3 linked regions of the Alligator mississippiensis genome follow. The protein of the gene in region 3 purifies or fractionates together with the protein of the main gene of each other region. This does not show direct contact. Links are inferred from orthologs where the notes say so. Each region holds a gene or a part of one and is shown on either strand. Other genes may lie near its edges.

Region 1 (6,927 bases), on a different chromosome or scaffold from region 3:
GAACGTGTGTTCACCAGAGCGCCCCAAGGGATGACAAGGTCGAATGGTCACAAACTACTACAAGATCGTTTCAGGCTGGACATAAGGAAGAATTTCTTTACTGTCCGAGCCCCCAAGGTCTGGAACAGCCTGCCGCCGGAGGTTGTTCAAGCGCCTTCATTGAACACCTTCAAGATGAAACTGGATGCTTATCTTGCTGGGATCCTATGACCCCAGCTGACGTCCTGCCCTTTGGGCGGGGGGCTGGACTCGATGATCTTCCGAGGTCCCTTCCAGCCGTAATGTCTATGAAATCTATGAAATGTACTATCAGACTTGAGTCAAAATAGTTTATCGAACTTCTGTCTCGAACCAAATGGAGTCTTCTGATGCTGTCTCCTAAGGAAAAGCTGAAATTAAACTCTGACTAATGCTTAAAACAAAGTCTGTGAAAGCACATCCTAAAGTAGTAATGTTCCTAGAAACTGGGTGTATTTGATTGAAAAATTCTCCACCTGAGCTCCATCACCAGATCCAGCCAAACCACAGTGCAGTCTGCTACCTGGATCTTGGGGGTGCTAAAAATGACAGGGCTTCTTCAGTCTAGGCCTGTTGGGTTGGTCAGCTAGACTGTGTTGGCTATTGCCTTATTTGCTCCAAAGCATAAGGAGTCCATATAACTTCATTCAATCCAGGGAATGAGAGAAATTGAAACCATCTGTGTCAAGCCCAGGCTCTATGGCTCTGCTGGACTGTTCCAAACTTAATTTACTGAACCTATTGTCCCTTCTGGTACCATGTGCCTGGAACTGCATATGAGTTAATCGACTTGATGACTAATATTAAATAATGATAGCTTGATGACTAGTGTGGTTTGTTTTGGGGTTTTTTTCTCTTCTTCCCCCCCCCCCCCCCCCCCGCGCCAACAGTCTAATGGGCGAGACTGCCTCCTTGTACTGATTCTTCTTTTTGTTGCAAATTCTGAATTTATCATTCAAAGGAACTTCTCCTCTGAGTGGACCTCAGTCCTGCCTGCTAAAGTTCCTGGTACAACTACACCTGGCACTTCCCTCACTTATTTATAGTAACCTGGCATCTTAAAAATTAAATAAAATTGACAACTAGAGACTTCAGAAAATAGTAACAAGACCAACTTCTCATGAAGATGTTAAAGCTAAATAAGTACCACAACTCTACTAAACCATGACAGGGAGTGAAGGGAAAGGTGATGCCTATTTTACAAATAACAGGTTATTCATACCAAAAGTAACAAAGGCATTTAGTGTGGTGCAGAGAAGCATAGTCATCTACACTTCAGTATAGTGTAGCAGACCTATCCTAGGACTACAGAGGAGAATTCTGAGGCATTATGGGATGAAATCATGAACAAAGAAACTTGTACTAAACATCCAGGAAAGCTCTGGGTGGGGGATGGTACTCAGTCCTCCAGCTGACTACATATACAAGGGAAATATCAGATGACCAATCACTTGGGATACTTCAAACTGGATTGGATAAAAGATTAACAATCATGAAAAAGCATGAATACTTCAAGCTATTGTCTGAATTTTTCTAATTGGATTACAAAGTGCTTATCAATGATGGATCCAATTGACATTTCTTTTTCTTCATGTTAGTTTAATGCTCATGTGGAGAGAGAGAGTGACTTTGGTCAGGGTCACATAGTAAATTGGGCGGGCAGGCAGGCAAATGACTTCAGCTCTCACACGTATTAACCCCATGATCAAACCACTAAGCCACAGACAGTGTACTGAAGTATTTTCTAGCAGTAATTTCTTTCCCTGTGAAGATGGGTTCCTGCTTGACAGCCCTGCAGGCTAGAACCCTGTCACTGTTTAAATACTTCAAAAAAGACAGAAACTAAGACTAAAACGCCCTTTAAACTTGCCATGTCTTGACTGCGTGTTGCTTATTGCTCACTGCTTCAACAAGCCTTACAAGTTAGCTTCAGGCAGTCTTGCAAAATGCCAATTACCCATTTGCCCTGGGGTAAGTAATATTTTTGTGACCAGAAAATGAATCATTGGTTTCATCATCATGAGTGTAGAAGTTTAGACTGTGCCTCTGCTGATTGCTATTATGACTGCTAAAGTCCTACTGCAGGGGATATTTCCTAACTTACTTACTAGTGGTATTTAGTCAGAATATTAAAAAATCCTACCTCTAATTGAGTATCTCCTCTCTGCATAAAGAAATAACTGTGGTGTCTGTGCGCATGCTGTGTGATAGCCTCCTTCTCTGGGACTTCTACTTTCCCAGAAACAGGGATAGTCTGAATTAGATCTTGCTGGGGTAACAAAACAGATATAGCCCAGGACACAGGCCAGCAACTAAACGGGTCGGCTGTGTCTGCTTTGACACGCTGAAGGCAGGCCCAGCAAAAGTGCAAACAAGCCCTGCTGGACGGCTTGAGTCGGCAGCCAGACGTGCCCCACCAAACCAGAACCGGGGCAGCCTGCTCAGGATCCAGCCTGACTGGGCCCACACCTTGGTCTGGCACCCAGCTCCCTGCGGGGGGCCCAGGGATCCTCCCCGGCCGCCCTGCGCCGAAGCAGGCGGGAGTCGCGCACCCCCCCCCCCTCAGTGGGCGCGGAGAGCGGGGAAGAGCCCCCCTTACCCGCTCGGCAGCAGGGGGAGCGGGCCCGAGGCAACCTCTTCCCAGCCCACACAAAGGGCCGGGCCGGGCCGGGGAGCGCCCGCTCGCGCTCCTTTCCCCGCTGTCCCGGCCATGACGGCGCCGCGGAGGCCGCGCTGTCCCCGCCCGGGGCCTCCCCGCACAAGGGGCCGCCTGCCCCGGACACCGCAACAAGCGGCCCCGGCCCTTTCCGCAAGTGCCCGGGGCCGCCGCCGCAGAGGCCCGGCCCGGCCCAGCCCAGCCCAGCCCGGCCCAGCCCCTACCTTGGCCATGGCCGTGGCGGCCCCTCGCGGCGCAGGCTCGTGTCGTGGCGCTGTCCCGCCGCCTCGTGCCGGTGCTGCCGCGCCGCGCCGGGGGAGGGCCGGGCCGGGACGGGGCTGGGGCCGGGGACGGGCCGGGCCGGGCGCCCCGCGCGCTGTTTCCGGGGCGGGGGCGGGCGCGGGCGCATTCCTGCCCGCTGGCGTCAGGCGGAGCCGCTTCTCCGGCCTCGGGCTCGGGCTGTGGGGGGCGCTGGGGCCGGGGCAGCGCCTGAGGCGGCGGGCCCGGGCCGGGGCCGGGGCCGGGGCCGGGGGCGGGTGGAGGAGCTGGGGTCGGGGCGCGGAGGCTGAGAACAGCACGGACCGCGTTTCCCCTCGGTGATACGGGAAGGAGATGCGGGGGAAGAGGCCCGGGCCTAGGGCTGGACTGTTCCCTTGAAGACGGCAGCAAAACCAAATCCAGCTTCTGGCAAGGAGGGGAAAACCACCCGCCGGGTGGAGAAATGGGCACTTGTTCCCAGGAGCAGCAGTGTGGCAGAGCAGAGGCCAGCTTCAGGGACTGCGTAAAAAGAAGAGAAGGAAGAGTTGAGAAGGGATCCAGTAGATTGTAATGAGCCATGAAGTCAAACGGCCTCCTCCGCCCTGCCTGGTTAGAAAGGCTGCTGTCGCTGCCAGGCGGCTGGTTGTAACCTTTGGGGGGGAGTGCAAGTGCACCCCTCTGCCCCTGCCTGTATCCCTGCAGTAAACCCCATCCTGGTGTGCCTGCTCCTTCCTCAGCACAGCTGTGGGTTGGAGACAAAGTTTAGAGCTGCTTCCCATGAGGGAGATGAGCTGTACCAAGAAAAGTTGGGTTTTTTCCTGGTATAACTATGTCTACACTACTGATTTCTGCTTGTATCCCTGACTAGCGCTGGTGCTGAGAGAAGTCTCATAGTGCAGTGGTTCTGGGTCGTATCCAAGTCAGGGCAGCCCCCTGCAGCTTGCCGGCATCCCTGGTTCAGAGCCACTGTTTGCTGCCTCTCCTTATTCTCGTTTGCCACCAGTGTGTCGCCACGTGCTCCAGTCTGTGTTGGGGTTTTCTGATAAACCTAAAACAAGCAGGAGTAGAGGCATTAACTAATGAGTTTTTTGCACCCTGGACAAAACTCCCCTGTGCCTCTGGGGCAGGGGGTGGAGCAGGGAGAAAGAAGGGTGGTCTTGCCCTGCTTGTCCCTGCACCCAGCTCCTCTGGGTGGTCTGGAGCATATGCTACATGCAGTGCTTAGGTCCAGTCAGAGAACCACGGGCAGCACCTCAGGCTGAATGATAGGGCTCCATGGGCAGTATCTTTGACATCCCTCTTCTACATGCTAGTTATCTTGCACTGAAATCTGAACTGATCTTACCGTGACATACACAATAAAGGCCTTTTCTGGTAGATGCTACTGTTGGTTTCTAGTGGTTAAAACTTGAGGAATAAAGTACTAACTTGTCTGCTTTCTGTATTCTGCTTGGCAGATACAAATTACTGTGACTCCCCTGCCCTTGGCACTTTTTTACCAGGGCAGCATTAGAGCTACTAGCAGTGTGATGTACTTCTGCCCCCTACTTCGTCCCCAAACTAGGGACTACCAGCAGGGTAGTGATGTTGGGGCCGGAAACAGGGCTTAGGAACCTCTTCCTAGCTCTTTTTCTGCCCCTGCTGGGTTACCCTTGCTGCCTGCGCTACCCAGTGGGGGCTGGGAAAGGTCTCCCTGGGGTAGTGGGCAATGCTCCTTGTGCTTCGCCAGGCCAGTGACTTCCTGGCTGCCTGACCAGTCTACAGGAGGGAAGTGGAACAGTAGGGAAGGACTCCACCTGTTCCCCAGACCTGCGTGTCTGGTCTGTGGAAGTAAAGGAGCCTTTCTGCACTGCTCCACCCCCTCCCCCCCCGAATGGGATGGGAGAAGTGGAGCAGTCACCGCACCCTAGGCCAGGATCACCCTAATCTTGAGAAGGGGAGAGGGTGGTGGCAGGCTGAGTGCCTGTATGATCACTCAGAAACTTCCACTGGTAGAAGCAGAAGTGAATGCCTGTTCATGGCCACTCACTATTATCAGCTATAGTTGACACTGATAAGAGCTTTGGACACAACTTACTGATTCTTTGTCTTTCACTAAGCACTCTGATACTAATTCACTGTACAAACAAATTGGCATAGGGAAAAACAGTGAATTAACTGAAGTGCAATCTCTCACTGCTGGTAGAATTGGATGAGGAAAGATGCACTACCTACATTGAGCAGGTAATCAGATTTAGGTCTCTTTTCTTGGTTGCATGTGGGCGGGATGACTACAGCACATAATCTGCTCATTCCATTTCCTGGCATTGTTCATAGCCCATGCAACCCCAAAGTCTACCGTTGGTTGTAGTATACTGTGGCATGGAGATAAGTCATGACTGTGCTGCTCAACAGTGTGCCAACTAAACACAGTAAACAAAGAGAAAAACCACTGTGTAAAGTCAGGACTGATTTCACTGGGTTACTAAATTTTAAATTAAATGTGTTTGTAAGAATTTTGTAGTATTGTTGGAAATTATTATTTTTTACAATAAATCTGTATTCAGTTATAAAGGTAGTAATCTGATCAGAGTTTGCTTACAAGGTGATATATGCTAAATTTGAATGTTAATGGGTGGATTTAAATTATTGAATTAAATTAATAATATAGTTCTATGCTATTTCACACATTTACTTGGATTACTCTTGCACAGCAGCAAAGACATATAATTAGTAATTTGTGCTCAAAGTAAAAGGCATTGTGTATATTCTTTTGCTGTGAATATTGTAAGGAATACATGCTCATGCTGTAAAATGTACATTCCTACTAGCAATACCAGCAAAGTGGTACATTTTCTAGGATGCAATAGAAATGCATCCGTTAGATACTGGATAAGAACATGCATAAAAATGAAAAAGTAACTGTATTTGTGTAAAAATTTAGAATTCCTGTGCATAGATGATGAAGTTGGCAGGAACAGCTTTATGAATTCTAGTATCTTAGATACAGTTTTCCAAATATTTACAGTATGTTTTGTGTATAGAGTTGCTTAGTGGGCACATCTGGTTTAGTTAGGTGGTGTCATCTTGCTCCAATATTCATGATTACCCTGCCACTGATTCTGACCCAACTTGGGGGTTCTCAATGACTTTCATGTGTGGACTGTATTTTACTACAGGGACTGTTTCATGGACCACCAGTGTGCACACATGACTCTCCCATGTGTGACTGTAATAGCTCTGTGGTAAGTACAGTAATTGACTGCATGTAGGAGTCATTTTAGAAAAATGTCTAATTTTTTTTTTTTTTCATTTTTCTAATGTATTTGATATCAGGCAATAAACTTGATAAGCTCACCAGTAATAAATACTCTCCAAAGCACCGATGGTCCATGAACCACAGTCTGAGAACCTCTTCCCTAAGCGTTGTTGTCTCATTTTCCTTATCTGTAAAATGGGATAATTAATATAATCTGAGGCAGACAAATATGAGTAATAACTAGCCAGTATTTGCAAACTTTTTCAAAGATAGAGTGCTATAAAAGAATACTTAGTTTTACAGAAGTGCCTAGAGGTTCCAGCTGAAATCTAAACACCGCATGTTGGGTACTGCGTGTGGCAGGTGATGGCTCCTTCCCTAGAGAAACTGCAGTTCATATAAGCAAGACAGAGAAAGGGAAGAACAGGTCAGTGTCAGAAATAGAACCCAAGTCCCTTGAAACCAAGTCCAGCGCTCTGTCCACTGAAGCACATTAGCACTTTTATACTAGTTTTTTTTTCCAGTTCCGTCCCTGAAAACAGGTCTGTACAGTCCTCCTGTGTTTGCCCCAGTTAATGTATGCCTGCCTACATGTTCTATATGCTTTTGGAAGGAATACATTGAGAATCTTTAGACGGCCTTGCTGATAGTTTTTCAGAATATGGGTATGTGCCTGCAATGGTACAAGAATGAAGAAGTTGCTAAACGTAAAGACTAGCTTAACACTGAATTTATTATTAGAAAATAGGGTCACTTA
Region 2 (7,062 bases), on a different chromosome or scaffold from region 3:
CCCTTTTTCACCCACAGCCAGGAACCCAGCAAGCTGGTTCTGCAGCACTGCACGTGGGGATGCAGGTAGTTCATACCTGCCCTTTAGCACCCAGTTGCTCAACTTTTTCATCCCAAAGCTAACACATACACAGAAGAAGGACCAGCTCAAGGTCAGGCTTGCAAAAGCTGCTGCTGCCCTTCGGACTCCCCTTGCCGTCCTTCTCAGGAATGTGCGGCTCTGCATTCATCCCACCTACTCCCTCCTCATCCCCAGCCACAGATGATTGTCCCTGTAGGCCCCTCCACTCCCACTCTAGGAAGAACCTTGCTTGAGCAGTAAACAGGGAGTATGTGTGGGAGTCACAGCAAATGCCTTCCAAATGCATGCAGCTGGGAGACCAGATCTCATAGATGGATTAAGGACATGGTTTTGGAAGAATCTCTCAGTTGGGGCAGGGTCTAAGCAGCCAGTATTTGGCATGAATCAGAACGTCAGAGCTTGGCATCAGGGGCAGGCTTCAGACTTTGGGGAGCAGAAGCAAAGTGCAGAGCCAGATTTAGGAGCAGCAGGAGTTGGCAAGAGCCCCTATTCCGTGGGCTCACTGCAAAGATCCTCTGGTTCACAGGATCCACTCACTTGGTCTCCATCATGGACAAGAGTCTATTTGGGTCCCATGCCAACCCAAGGTGAGAGTGTTCTGGGAAGAGGAAAGAGCCTTGTAAAAGAGTGGGTTTTAGATTAGTCTGGATCCCTCTGTGTTATTAACTCCATTACCTAAGGGCACAACTGTGCAGACGAGTTACCACAAGGTAAGCTAGGGGGTAAGTGTGAAATGCGTCAGCTGTTTTGTAACTAATCATCATAACCTCCACATTGGGTCAGACCCTGGGTCCACCCAGCCTAGTAGCCTGTCTCCAACAGGGGCAAGTAGCAAATGAGTAGTTACAGGATCAGAGTAATAACCATGGCATGCACATACAGAATGATGCATCCCCTGTGACAATCTGCCAGTTTTCAGTAGTAAGTCTGCCCAATGGACCTCCCCTCCAAAAACTTGTCTAATCCCTTTCTGAACCTGGTTATACTACTGGCCTCCAAGACATCCTTGTGGCAATAGGTTCCACGTTAGTTATGAATGCCAATATGCCCTTACTCCATGGCACATGCAAGATGGCTTGGCCCAGGTCTCATGTACACCCCCTGGTGAGTCAAGCAAGGCTAATATCCTCAACTTCCATGCAGGGATCTGAACATAATGCAACTAAGTGACTTGCTACAGGGCACACAGGGAGCCTGTTGGCACAGCACAGAGCTAGATCTAGTTCTCCCAAGCCCTAACTGAGCACTCTAACCATTGCACAACACTCCCTCAACACCTCCCAAGCACAGGGGAGGCCCAGCGACAACCGTCAACTCCTACCGCACATGGTCCTGTCTGCAAGCCAACTTTCCCTGCAAAGAACCCACCTCCTCCCCTCCCCAACACAGCAGCTGTTCTAGAGAGGGAGCAACACAGAACCAGCGCACTCCCTCTTGAGAGGGAAAAAAGAATCCCACACTCCACGGAGAGCCAGCGTTCAGCATGAATCTCTGGAATGCAGAGCAGATGCCTTCAGTCCCTGCAGCTGTTGCAGTGAGAGCTCTCTTTCGGGCACAAGATCTGTGCTTCAATAGAAGAGACAGACCCTCCAGCTGGCTCCCGACTTCAAAACCCCCAAGGGGCCCGAGTCCCTGTGGCTCTCATGCAGACATTTCTGCTACTGCAAAGTGACTGTGCTGCACAACTGCCTCCGAGCAGTAACACTGGGCAGGGGCGTCAATGCTCATGCAAGGTGCAGGACAGCACAGGACCATATGGGCATCGCACCGGCCTTTCTACTCAAGCCAGCATGATGCTGCTGTCCAAGGAGCCAGCCACTATCTACCCAGGCTGCAGGAGGCGAATGGAAAGGAAAGTCAGGTTCCCAGTTTATTGAAGCAAGCTGCCCAGGTTCTCAGTGAAAACAAGCTGCCCAAGGGAGTGGGGATCTGGGGGCAAAAGAGTGGCAGCAAGAGAGAGCCACAGATTGTCCTCTTTTGGGAGGGCTTGACCCACGCAGAGAAGCATTGCAGGAATGCCCAACTGATCCTGGAGAATTCCTCGCCTCTCCCTGCGAATACTAATCCCAGGCTGTTCGCTCTCAGTCAGGCACTGCCGGACTCCAGCACGTTATCCTGACACTGAGAGCTTAGAGAGAGGGCTCCCGGCAGGTCAGTGCCACTAAATCAAGACGCCAGCAGAGGAAACTCTGAGCTAGTGCGCGTGCACATCTATTAGCCATCTCTAGACATATCTATATATAGATGCAAGAGAGATATAAAAGTGTACAGATCTAGATACACAGCAAACTAGAACTCTCGGTTCCAAAACGATCCCTTTTATTATCCCAAATAAAAGGGACCATTTTGGAACCAAGAGTTCCAGTTTTTTGTATGCCTTCTCATCTCAGACCAATACGGCTACCAAGTACACCCCTGGACAGATGTGTATATAGCTAGACCTCTATAGAGAGATAGATGCATACACACACACATAGACAGACAATTTCCCCTCCCACCCAGGCACGGGGGAGTGCCAGCCTTTCATGCCCCCGAGGCCTCCCGGCGCCCCGCACTGGCTGCTGCTCCGTCCCCCGCCGGGCATCGCAGGGCAGCCCTTGGCCCGGCTGCCGCTGCCACCCCTCGCCCCCTGGCCCGCCCGGCACTCACAGGTAGCGGCTCTGCCCCTGGCTCTGGCGGTGCAGGGCCACAGAGAAGCCGAAGAAGGCGCGGGCGCCGCCGCCCTGCTTGAGCACGAGCGAGCTGGTGTCCAGGTTGAAGGCGGCGGCGGCGGCGGCCAGGCAGAGCAGCGCCAGCAGCGCCCGCACGCCGGGAGCCATGATCCACCCGCCCGGCCCCCACCTTGCCGCTCTTTTCTTCCGGGGAAGGGCGCGACTGCAGCCTTAAAGGGCCCGCCCGCGCTCCCGGGCACCTGCCGCCCCTCCGCGGCCCGGCCCGGCCCGGCCCGACCCCGCCCCGCCCCGCCCCGGGGGAGGAGGATGGGGGCGCCGCCCCCCCACCCCACGCCGCGCCGCGCCGCGCCGCGCCCGCCCCGGTCCTCGGGCCCCCTCCGAGCCAGGCAGGACCCGGCGGCCCCCGCCGCGGAAGGAGGGGAGCCCGCCGTGTCCTGGCAGGCGGCAGCCCGCAGCTGGCATCTGTCCCCATTCCCCGCCGGCCCGGCCCGGCCCGGCCCGGCCCCGATCCCCGTCCTGGCCCGTGTGAGGTGGGCTCCGGCCCCCCAGGAGTGACTGCCAGCCTGCCCAGCGCGCACACTTCAGCCACAAATAGAGAGAAAGCAGGAAGGGGAGGGAGGTCGCAGGTTCATGCCTGGAGAGGTGGAGGGGGACACGGAGCAGTGCCCACTGCCCCTTGAAAGAGCCTGCGGACGTGGAGCAGTCAAACCCTGCCAGGAGGAGTGAGGAAGAGCCCGGCGGTTTCCCGCGCCCCCTTCTTGCAGGTGCCCGGCTTGGCCAGAGCCAGGAGGAGGGTGGCCAGGAGGTCCTGGGGCTTGGCGGGGCGTAACAAAAAGGGTGCGGGGGGAACCTCAGCAGCGGGTTCGGGACAAGGCGGCAGAGGGGTGGCAGCCTGGCGCACTCCAGGTAGGCGCACACCAGGGCTCAGAAGCTCTGGCTGGCGTCCCCCAGCCCAGCCACAAGGCTGGTTTTGCAGTGCAAACTTCCCACTGGCAGGACAGCTGCCCCATTTCATAGGTTTTGAAACACACCTTGTGCACTCACAACACTACACTGAAGCCTGAGGAGGGATTAAGAACAAAAGGCCAGGAAGGAGAGGAGAGTGCTGCGTCAATGACTCAAAAGTTAGGAGAGACCAGAATTAATCACATCACCATAACTGCTCACCGCAGTGCAATAGCCCTGTACAAGTGCGTGCGCAGACCACCAAGGGCGTGCTCAGAGACTGAGCCCCTGGCTCTACCATCCTAAGGCCCTAATTAGAAATGAACCCAGGTGGCCTTTGAGCTGCAAGGAAGCACCATCCCTTTTGGGACATACCTGGACAGCAAAGCCCAATGCTGCAGCTATTTCCACAGGACCCCAACCCCTGCTGAGCTCTCCATCTCCATCCCTGCAGCTGGTCAAGATGGCAAGTTCTGCAAGCCAACTCACTGCACTCACACACCAGGATTTGCAGGAGGAGGACTTTCCTCTACAAACTATCTGCAAGTCTGGGGGGGGGGATGGGACATGCATGGTACAGCAGGAGCCAGCATCATTGTCAATCCAACATTCACTGTATCTCCAAAAAAAAAAAAAAGGTATGGGGTTTGCATTGCATTTCCATGGGGGAGATGACTGTGTAGGGAAAACAGCCTTTGCCCATGTGTAATCGCTATCCTTCATGCTGCTCTAATGCCCTCGGTTCTGCTGCAGGCAGCTTCCACTTTCACAGCACTGGGAGCACTCTAAGGCCCACGTGAGGCTGGCAACCTGCACCAGTCAGCACAGATGACTGCGGTCATGACCTCAGAAACTTCCGTTTCCACCCCCACGAATAGAGGGCAGAATTAAGGGTGCACAGCAGCCACGTGCTATCTTCCACTGGGTTCACTTTCCAACTTCTCAGCCGCAGGGTGGTTAACAGGAAGCCCCAAAGGGGTGTGCCAGGACAAGGAAGCACCAGGATCTAAGTCTTGCTATGTGCAGAGAGGTTGCCTTGATGCAACTATGCTACTCTGCTGTGTCACACACTGCAACCAAGAACCTCTTGACCTGATATATGCCCCTCCAGGCTGCAGTGTACCATCCCTGAGTATGAACCACTGTATCGCTTCTGCTGCGCTCTAGAATAGCATCTGCACAATGCTGATGCTGAGCACTGTGGCTGCTCCCACGCCCACGCTTTGATTTTGGCAAGCTTATGCTTGTTGCTTTGGGGACAGATACAGAATGAGGGAGGTCTGCTTCCTGTGGGGTTTCTCAGCCCCTTGGCCTTCCTGGCTGTTCTCTTCCAAGCATTAGCTAAACCACAACAACAAACACCTTAATGATAAGTACAAACTAGACAACAGCAGGATGTGACCCCTGTGGTTTTCAACACTATTCCCTCAAAGCATTGTTTCAAAGCAGCTTTTCTATGATCTGGATGTATGTGGGTTTGTACAGCACCTAGCACAATAGGGTCTAGATCCATACCTGGGGTTTCCAGGCAGTGAAACAACACAAATAATATATTGCTAGAAAAAGGGATCTACTCAATGCAGTTCATCTTCCTTCAATCAAGAGAATTTAGTCCTAAAACAAAACCCTGGGGCTGAACTTTGCAATTCAGACCAATCCTGACTTACAGCAGGGGTTTGTGTCACTAATTGTTCTCTACTGGATGAAATTGGAACTGCTGGATTGTGTGTCATATGCCTATACAGCTGAGGGAGGCTCTCCTTTAATCAGCAGGAGAAATGGCGTGTGCTTTTGGAACAGGAGGATCTGAGTTGTTCCTGCCATAGCTCTCACGGGGCTCGGTAAATGGTGGAGTGATACATGTCAAGGCCATGGAGCGCGTGGCGACCTATGGCCTATAGGCTGGATCCAGCCTGCAAAGCAATCCAGTCCAGGCCACCAAAGTCCAATCTGGCATGGGGGATCAGTGGCAAGGACCATGTCATCCATCCTCACTACTGCGCTCCTCTCCACTGCAGAGCTGAGCTGTTGGAGGTAGGGCTGGGACTCAGGAGTCCCTGGCTCCAAGCCCCATTTGTCTTGCATTTACTCTCCTTCCAGCCATCTTGTAGACCTGGACTCCCCATCTGCCATCCCCAAGAGCCTTGGGCACAAAAGAAGGCTTTGTATTTCTAGCCATGGTTGCACGGATCCAGACCCACCAGGGCAGTGGTGTCTTTATCTCCCAGCGCCTTTGCAAATATTTGCCTGTGCAGTGCCAGTAGGTGTGGGCGGCTGGCCCAGCCCTTGTAGACTTAAAGCCCTGCCCTTGATGGGGGTCAGGGAGTGATAAGGGATGGAGAAGGTGACTTGGTCCCTAAGAAGGAAGCAGGTACTCTTAAGGGCAGAACACCTTCAGCTCAGCTGGATTTAAGAGCACTCTGTCCCAACCGTGAGAACTGGGAAGATTGAAAGAGTCACAACTACTTTGCATAGTGATCTGCACCCATATAATGTACTTCTGGCCTTGCACACACTCTGCACGGATGCTACTGGAACCTCCCACGGTTCAGGGCAATGGAGAATCCCCTCCTGTGGGCAGGCAGAATCTCTCCCTGCCAGCCCAGGCCTGGGGGACTGAGGAAGCCAGTGCAGCAAAAGGCATGGCCTCATCTGAGCCCTGCACAAGGAAGGAAAGAGACCTTTGACCAAGCAGCCAGCAGGAGGCTTCCCAACCAATGGAAGTAGGTCTGCCGTGCCAGGCACTCCAGGCTGAGCCAACATCAGAGGCAGGCAGCCTTTTTTATATCCTGCCAGCTACCTTAGCACTCACCCTGTCTTCAGTAAAGAGCAGGAATACATTTCCTCTGAGAGACATCAGCAGCCACGAGAGGGACGATGATGCTCTCCAGAATTCAGGGCTGCTGACCAACTGACTCACTTTCCTTGATGATGTACCCCAGCTCCCCCCAGGAATGGACGTGCCTGCCAGCAAATGTCAGACAACCTCCCCTCACCTTCCCACCCCACCGCCACCCCCACCCCCCAGCAGGCTCCTGGATGAACTTGTCCCCTGGGAAGGAGACGCCCTTCCTGAAATGCACAACTTGGCTTTCACCCTGAGCACCGTGCAGTATGGCTGGGGCCAGAGCACTATGGTACAGGGAAGTGATGCTAAAGGGGAGGCAGGTATATGGACTGGGGGTCCCTTTGTCAGGAACGGCCTGGATGGATGATGGACAATGGTTGCAGCCAGAGGAGAAGGGCTGCAGGGAAGGGGTGGTCAGGAGCCTGAGGAAGAGGAAGGTCTTTCTGCGGGGAGGTGGGGGGGGAGGATTCCTCCCACAGCTCAGGGAAAACTATGTATAAGAAACATGTGTGACTC
Region 3 (7,656 bases):
AAGTAACACCCAGTCTGTCCTGAATTACCCTTAATGGCCCATGGCGACAGACATATCACTAGTGTTGCACTGCCACTCAGTAGTCCTACCTAGGATCATGGGCATGTGGTCCAGACCTTCTCTTCACCACAAACCAGACATCCCAACAGCAAGTTGTTATGCCCCCTTCATCATAAGCAGGTGTTTTGGGGGACTGAAGATGTCCAATCTCACTGTTGATGGGAACAAGTAAAAGCACCATTTTGTTTTACTATTATCAAGATGATGTCTTGTCACAGTGACAGCCTCTTAGAACTTAAATTCATACAAGTATCATAGATCTTAGAAGCCAGTTTCTGATAGTAGGGTCGCAGAAGGGTGCCTTATAGGATTTTTTGATAAAACGGCTGCCATCTCTAACAGCATCACCTCTGAAACACTGCTTTCATGAACCCCTTTTGCCCAAAAAGGGGTTCATGAAATCTTGTGAAATCCCAGAACCAAAAAAAACTTAGAATAGGGTAAGGTAAAGAGTTTCATAAGATACCCTGAGCGCTCATCATCAAAAATATACAACCCTTAAGTGCCAAACTCTATATTAAGCTGGATTTCTTATCAAGAGCTTCTGTGATCAAGACATTCTGACGATCGATAATCCTCTTCATTAGACACCATGGAACAAAGGCTGCTGGATAAAAACTATGCATGGCGAGCAACACTGTGACGCTACAGTAATCTTCAGCCATGGCTGCTCTTACCCAGTTTCGAAGTGGGAAGCAGGGAGTAGTGCAAAGATAAAAAGAATAACAGGACATAACAGGGTGGATTTGCTGGTAAATTCATTCTCCACTCAGCCCAGAGCTCTCTACAAAGATTTCACCAATTAGCCTACCAACCAAATCTTTTTTCTATAGAAGGGAACCTTTAACAAACAAGAGAAAGAGATGTAAGTGCCCTTCAGCAAAATCTAAGAATACTCACAGTCCCTCTATTGAAGCGGAGTTTAGACAAACCTTGAAATTCCAAGTGAAGTGGGAAGCCACCTCGACATGTGCAAAAATAGAGTGTAGGCCAGTTTTAGAAAGCCAACTCATGCTGATCTTGTGATTATGCTCCTAGAGCCCTCAAGAGATTGCATGTATGTGAGACCTTGAGCTAGTTCCTTAATTTCTTTCTGCCTCCAATCATCACCTCTAAGAATGGCACAGCATAGGCCAACATTTCTCCACCTGTGGGTTGCAACCCAAAAGTGGGTTGCAAGAATATTTGAAAGGGTTGCGAACAAACTTTAAAAGTGAATTAACAGACTTTAAAAATGGAGAAAAACATGGGAAACTGTGGCTTTTCCCTTGCAAGCTGGCACAGTTCCAGCCTGCGAGGGGCTGACTGGGGCCCCCCTGCCCCCCATGTTGGGGGGCTGGAGTGAGGGGCACTGGGCTATTGGTGTTTACAAATGGATTCTGTTACCAAAAAAAAAGATTGAGAATCACTGGCCTAGGCCATGTAACAGCCTAGAGAGAAATCGGGCTTTTCTACTCTGTTGGTGTAAGACATACAGCCACCCAGCTGACACTTGGCCAAAGGGCTCTGCAAAGCACTGCCTCTCCCTGCATCTCTTCTCCCCTTCACCACCCTCACACATGCCATTCTTCCTTCCACCTCTCTGCCTTGCTGGACTGTCTCCTTATCAATCATGAAGCTGAAGTTGGTTCCTTATCCTCAGTTATTCCTGGTCTCCATATCACACCCCACACCTCCCTTCATCTGGTTCCTACAACACCCACCCCACTGCCACTGAGCCAAGACACCTTGCTCTTTCCCTTTAGGTCTCTTCTCGGACCTCCCCTTCCCTTCCACTAACAACCACCCTCTCAGGCTCCTGTGCCTCAAAGGCTCCTAATGATACAGGTATGCAGTGCAATGTGCTCCCAGCCCTTACTGCTATGAAGCCTTGGTCTGGGGCTAGAAAGAAAAGGTCCTGCTTCTCAACAAATACAAGGTGATGCCATGTTCCCATAGATCCCCATTAGTAACAGAGAGGACCCCCCACAAAAAAAAATTGATGCAATTAGAGGTGAGGGCCTTTGACTACAAGCTCTTCCAGGCAGGAGCCTTTTCTGATGCGCTCAGACAGAGCCAAAGACATTGTTTTTAAGTTCTGGTTTCTCAAGAACATCACAGATGCTGCCTGGCAAGGATCCACAGCCTTCTCAAAGGCACCACCTCAGCGCTGCTCTGGGGCTTCAGGATATGACCTGTACTAAGCTGAGAAGTATTCTTTCTGGAAAATATTTTTTTTTGTTGCCATTTCTCAGTTGGTCTAATAAAAGGTATCATTTTGGAACCAAGAGTGCTAGATGTTTGCATTTCTTCTAAGCAGGGAAGCAAACTTTTGAGGGGGGAATCGATTTGCAGGGGGGGGGGGCTTATGTCTCAACTTTTGCAACTCAAAGGCTCGAGATTAATGCAGCGTCAGCCCAAACCCATGTGGTTTTGCATTTCTTTGCATCCCTTCCCAAAAACCAAAGGAAAAACCTGGGGCCAAGCCAGCAAGTTTGGAGGGGGGGCTGCTGGGGGAAGAAGGGAAGAGTTTTACCCCCCCATCCTCCCTCCGCCCACACGCGCACACACTCACTCCACATCTAAACAAGAGGCGAGGTGGGTGGCAGGGTCATGTCTACAGCACAGCAACCAGCTTCTCTCTACAGATGCCCCCATCCCTAACACGGAGCAACCCCCTACTGTTTGGCCTCACCAACCTCAGGCCCATCCAACCTCCCCTGCAAAGTCCAGGGCTGGGGGGAGGAGAGGAGGGCTTACTTTGTTGCTGTTGCTGCTCCAGGTGGGCTTCCTCCCTCCCCCCCCCCCCCCCACAAGAGGATCAGGGGGTTCCTGGCACCGCTCTTTACCTTTTCCAAGCGATCCGGGTGCCAAGGAAGGGCTGGGGCAGGGCAGAGCAGTACCAAGCCTCTCACCCTGCGAGCTGCAGCGAAAGTGAAAACAGCCCTAGAGCCCTGCTCTGCAGCCGCCTCCCCAAACCCCTCCCCGTCCCCAGTCCTTCGTGATTAACTGTTTGAATCAACTCAGATCCAGAGACGCCTAGTGGGAGATGGTGACTATTACCCCCAGCCTCAGCCAGGCACACGCAGGCGTAGGGGGCTGCTCAGAGCAGAGCAGTAGCTCTCCTCCTTCTAGCTTCAGCTCCCTCTGTGCAAAAATGAAGTTGATTTCCTACTTATGGGGAATTTTTACCATCTTGAACTTTGCCTGAGCCTGACAAAGGGCGTGTGAGTCCGAAAGCTTGCAGAAAAATATATGCAAACAAGGTTCTTTGGGTGAATCCAGTATCTTTTATTAGACCAACTTAAATAGTTTCTGGATGGAACAGAAGCCAATATGCACTCTCCCTATGCGTGAAGAAGGGTGCTTGTGCCCAAAAGCTTGTAAAGAACAATTTCTACAACTATTAAGTTGGTCTAATAAAAGATATCACATTTACCCAGAGAGTCTTGTCTGCCTATGTCCTTAGACCAACACAGCAATAACAAACAACCCAGAAAAACGATAGAGCATTCATCTGCTGCAAAGAACTCCGACAGACCACAACCGGGCAAAATGGTTTTGATCTTCTGGATTCCTATTTGAAATAGCTGGGTTTATCGTGAGAATCAAGTTCAAGTGTTTGCACACCTAACAGTGATCATACTGAAAATTACCCTTAAAAGGATCTCCCAGTTGAGAATCACTGAAGTAGAGTGAAGAATAACGTCAGTCCCCAACCCTTCACTCCTTACAGTACCTTCCCCCTTTACAGAATATAACATGCTGATGCATTGCTAAATTCTCTCTATATATAATATATAGAGAGCCACCTCTATATTAAATAAGACAGAGGTGGCCAACCTGCAGCACACATGCCACAAGTGACTTGGGTAGCCTCTGTGCGGCATGCAGCAGGGAGAGGGTAAGCATCACAGTAGCAGATAGAGCACAAAGCAGAGCCGCAGAAGGTACAGAGGAAGGGAATCAGAGTGTCACAGGGCTAATTTGAGGCACAGCTGCCAAAAAAAATTGGCTCCCAACTAAAATAAGATAATATAGCATAAGCATTTTTTAAGGCCTAGGGAAACTGTTGTCCTTGGAAAGTTACTGGATACTAAAAATAAACCCCACAGGAAAGGCCACAAAACACACATTTTTCCTTCCCCCTCCTCATTTCTCTGAATCCCCAAGTTGCCAGGACTTTATTTCCTTAAAATAAACAAAAAAAATTTAATGTTTAACCCTCACATTCCACGAAAACTTCACCAAAAATGCAACCTGATGCAGACATCCTGGAATGCAAAATGGACCTTGCCCTCCTCATATCTTTAACAGCTCTGCCATTTGAGTTATCTCATTCCTTTAAGAGGAAGGGTCTCCTGCTGTGTCTGTTTTGCTAGGAGTGAAAGGCTAATTTTTTTTCCTTTGATGCCATAGATGCCACTTGTTCATTAACCAAGCCCAGGGAGATTTTCACACCCTGTGGAAGAGAAGCCAAGCTCAAGGACATTAAGGGAGACTGGCAGCAATGCAGTCACATGCATCTGGGCAGCCTCTCCCTTTACTGACTCTTGAGGGCAAAGCTTGGAAGAGTCCCACCACAAGCTGTAGCAAAACCCCCAGTTTTGGTTGTTTGAGGTTTTTTTAATTTAAAAATACATTCCCTCCCTTCTCCAACCATTTCTGACTTTCTCTTTGCCCTCTCTATTCCTTATAAGTAGTTGTGATAAGTCATAGTTACGAACATAGGATAAGCTCTCCATTACTGTAACAAGCCCCTTTTATATTGTCCATGTATCATTGTAAATAGTGCCATTATTTTGGTATTGATTTTTATTGGTTTATATTGTATTCCTATTATATTTGTATTCATTTTTACTGTTTTATATTGATATTGTATCTTTTAGGCCTGTTTATGCAAGTTAGCCAAAGTAATGTTAAGTCTCCATCTCGTCTTGTCAAGTCTCCATTTTGTGTCCCCCGCCCGGGTATACCCTATTGTAATTGTGTTTTAACTGTGACTCGTACCTATACCTCCCATGTAAATTGGTTCCTGGGTGAATGAGAGTGCTTGAGACATAATGGTAGCAGGCCTAAAAATAGCTCCTACTGAATAACCGGACCATCAACTTAACGACCCTACCACTGCCTTGCATTGACTCTCCCTGAAACCACAGGGCAAAGGGGGCACCTGTCAGGGCAAAGGGGGCAACTGCCCCAGGTGCCAACTTGGGGGAGGGAGGCAGGGGGCAAAACAAAAAGCAGCTACCACTGGCAGCTGCATAAGTGCAATCATGACAGCTGGACATTGCCTCTGCTTCTGGGCAGTGACTCTTTCTGAAACCACAGACCTACTCCCAGAACCAGAGACAAAACCCAATATTTGAAAGACCCTCCAAGAAACCAGCAACATAGAAACAAAGAACAGAAAAGAAACCAGCAACTCCACTATTGTATCTCACCAAACAATGAGGACATGGAACTGCATGTCCTCATCTGAGCAGGACTGGCCCTTGCCTGGGCATGTCCTCCCCATTAGAGTCACAGGTAGCCCACCCCTATAAAAAGGGTGGTAGAGTGCGACCTCCTTGGGATGCCCTCTCCATCTGAACCAGCACTACACCATACCACCTATCCACCCAGAGGCCCTGCCGGCAAACCCCCTCTGGACAACACCTTGCTGGAGAAGACCACGACTGGCCATCAACAATCGACTCAGCCTGGATAGGTATCTATCACCTGCATCTTCCCTCCACACAAGGGACCTGAGCTCTGTTTCTATACCCCTTGATTTCAATCTCTCTACTAAACAGTTTCTCCCCTGCTACCATTGTGTGAGCGCATGACTGTAACTGTGTGTGCAGGAACCAATAATTTGTAATCCAAATATTGTGTTACCCCTTTTCTAATAAAACTGTTACCAAACTCTGCTCCCCGCCCCTCTGATCTTCATCTCCTCTCTCTTTCACCTCCATCCCTGCTCTCTCTCTCTGCCGCCTCCAACACTCCCGTTTCTCTGCTTCCTCTGATCCTCATCCCAGCCTCTCTGCTGCTTTAGCCCTTGGCCTCTCTGCCGCCTTGACCCCTGGCTTCCCTCCTGTCCCAGCTCTTCACCCTGCTCCCGGCTCCATTCCCTGCTCTGCCCCTGGAATTTCTCCTAGTCGTCAAGCACCGCAAGCACCAACATGCAGCTGCCCGAGTGTGTGTCTATGTATGGATATGTGTGCAGAACAATAATTTTCATATGAATATTTTGTGTATATAATTTTGTGTCATGCCCTCCTGCCTGACAGCATGATATTGAGATCCCGAGCGTGTCAAGTCAACAAAGCCATTACTCTACCGTGTCTCACAGACCCTATCCTGATATAATATAAGCAAGTAACTCAATACGCAAGAGGACTGTAGATGCCAGAGAGACAAGCAGCTTCACAGCTTCTGCCAAAAGCTGCTCCCATGTGAAGGCATAGTGAAGTCAGCTGGATTCACCCCAGGCCTGGCATCTTTGGGGAACAAAATATTCCCTCCCAAAAAAAAATCCACACAAGATACTGCCTCTGGAGAACTCCCACCACACCTGCATTAGCTTGGCATTAAGGCAGAAGCTTCCACTGGCATCAGACAGCCAGTTCACCTTTCTTACCCCCAGGCACTGACTGCCAAACAACTGTTAGTGGAGACATAAGCAAATCCGTCAATTGCTCAATCCCAATAAAACGGAGCAAGTGAATACAACTCATGCAGGGACAGAGTAGATTTTGCAAGCAGGTCCCATGCATTCTAACAGCTGTCTTCAAAACAAAGGCCTTGATCTTGCAAGCTATTTTGTGAAGGATGCATGAACTTGCCCACATAACCTGACTTTACAAATTGCCTTTCCTTACATACAACCAGTGCTGCCTGCTCTGGTGATTTTAGCATGAGCTGCACAACAACTGGGTGCTTCTCTTAAAGCCCCAGCTCCAGGAGTCATGGGATTTAAGTAAGATCCTTCTTGGCTACAGATAAAAACTTTGAGAGATTAGTCCAACGTACTAGGCAAGCCAAAAACGCAGGAGGTAAATACTCCCAGCCTTGAAGTACTGTATATTAATAGTCTCATACAGTTAGGGTGGGGGTCTGATGCAGAGTATCTGGAAGTCTAGAGTTGCCTGTATTTGGACAAGCACTGTCACATCAGACGTCATTTAGCCAATAACAAGCATTGTTACATTAGATGTCATTTAGCCAGTAATTTATGGCAGGGCTGTCCAAATGGGTGCCCACAGGCCACGTGCAGCCCCTGGGCTCTTGGCCCACATATCACCCTGCTCTTGTTCTTGCTGCTGCCACCAGAGTTCCCATGCTCCCCTCCCTTCTTCAGCTTCTGCTGTCTGCCCCCACCCCTAGGGGCAGGGCAGACTAGCACAGCCCAAAGGGCTGAGAGAGCCCATGGCCAGAGGGCTCAGAGGAACCTAGAAACCCTGTGCAGACACATGGTAGGGCTACGTAGCAGTATAGGGAGCCTGCACAGCACACTGGGGACCCCTGTGCTGTGGTGAATCAGGGTTTCCTGTGGTATGGTGAGGGAGGGCTCGTGCATTGTATCATGTCTAGGGCCCCTGGGTGGGGGAGGTCCTGCAATGGGTCAAGGGC

What was found. Proteins that work in one complex are often made in the same cells at the same time.
Region 1: the proteins of CD151 (region 3) and ITGB1 purify together in Homo sapiens (affinity purification with western blotting; 4 studies listed by BioGRID and IntAct, with this or other methods). This does not show direct contact. The link is inferred for Alligator mississippiensis from reciprocal best matches to the Homo sapiens genes CD151 and ITGB1.
Region 2: the proteins of CD151 (region 3) and ITGA3 purify together in Homo sapiens (co-immunoprecipitation; 4 studies listed by BioGRID and IntAct, with this or other methods). This does not show direct contact. The link is inferred for Alligator mississippiensis from reciprocal best matches to the Homo sapiens genes CD151 and ITGA3.

The regions. Positions count from the first base shown.
Region 1 is NC_081828.1:193,421,645-193,428,571, forward strand, and holds the start of ITGB1 (integrin beta-1), read right to left. Parts: upstream 3,010-6,927; 5' UTR 2,908-3,009; coding exon 2,899-2,907; intron 1-2,898.
Region 2 is NC_081827.1:169,511,167-169,518,228, reverse strand, and holds the start of ITGA3 (integrin alpha-3), read right to left. Parts: upstream 3,010-7,062; 5' UTR 2,901-3,009; coding exon 2,731-2,900; intron 1-2,730.
Region 3 is NC_081825.1:184,108,447-184,116,102, reverse strand, and holds the start of CD151 (CD151 antigen), read right to left. Parts: upstream 3,007-7,656; 5' UTR 2,889-3,006; intron 1-2,888. UniProt on the Homo sapiens protein: Structural component of specialized membrane microdomains known as tetraspanin-enriched microdomains (TERMs), which act as platforms for receptor clustering and signaling.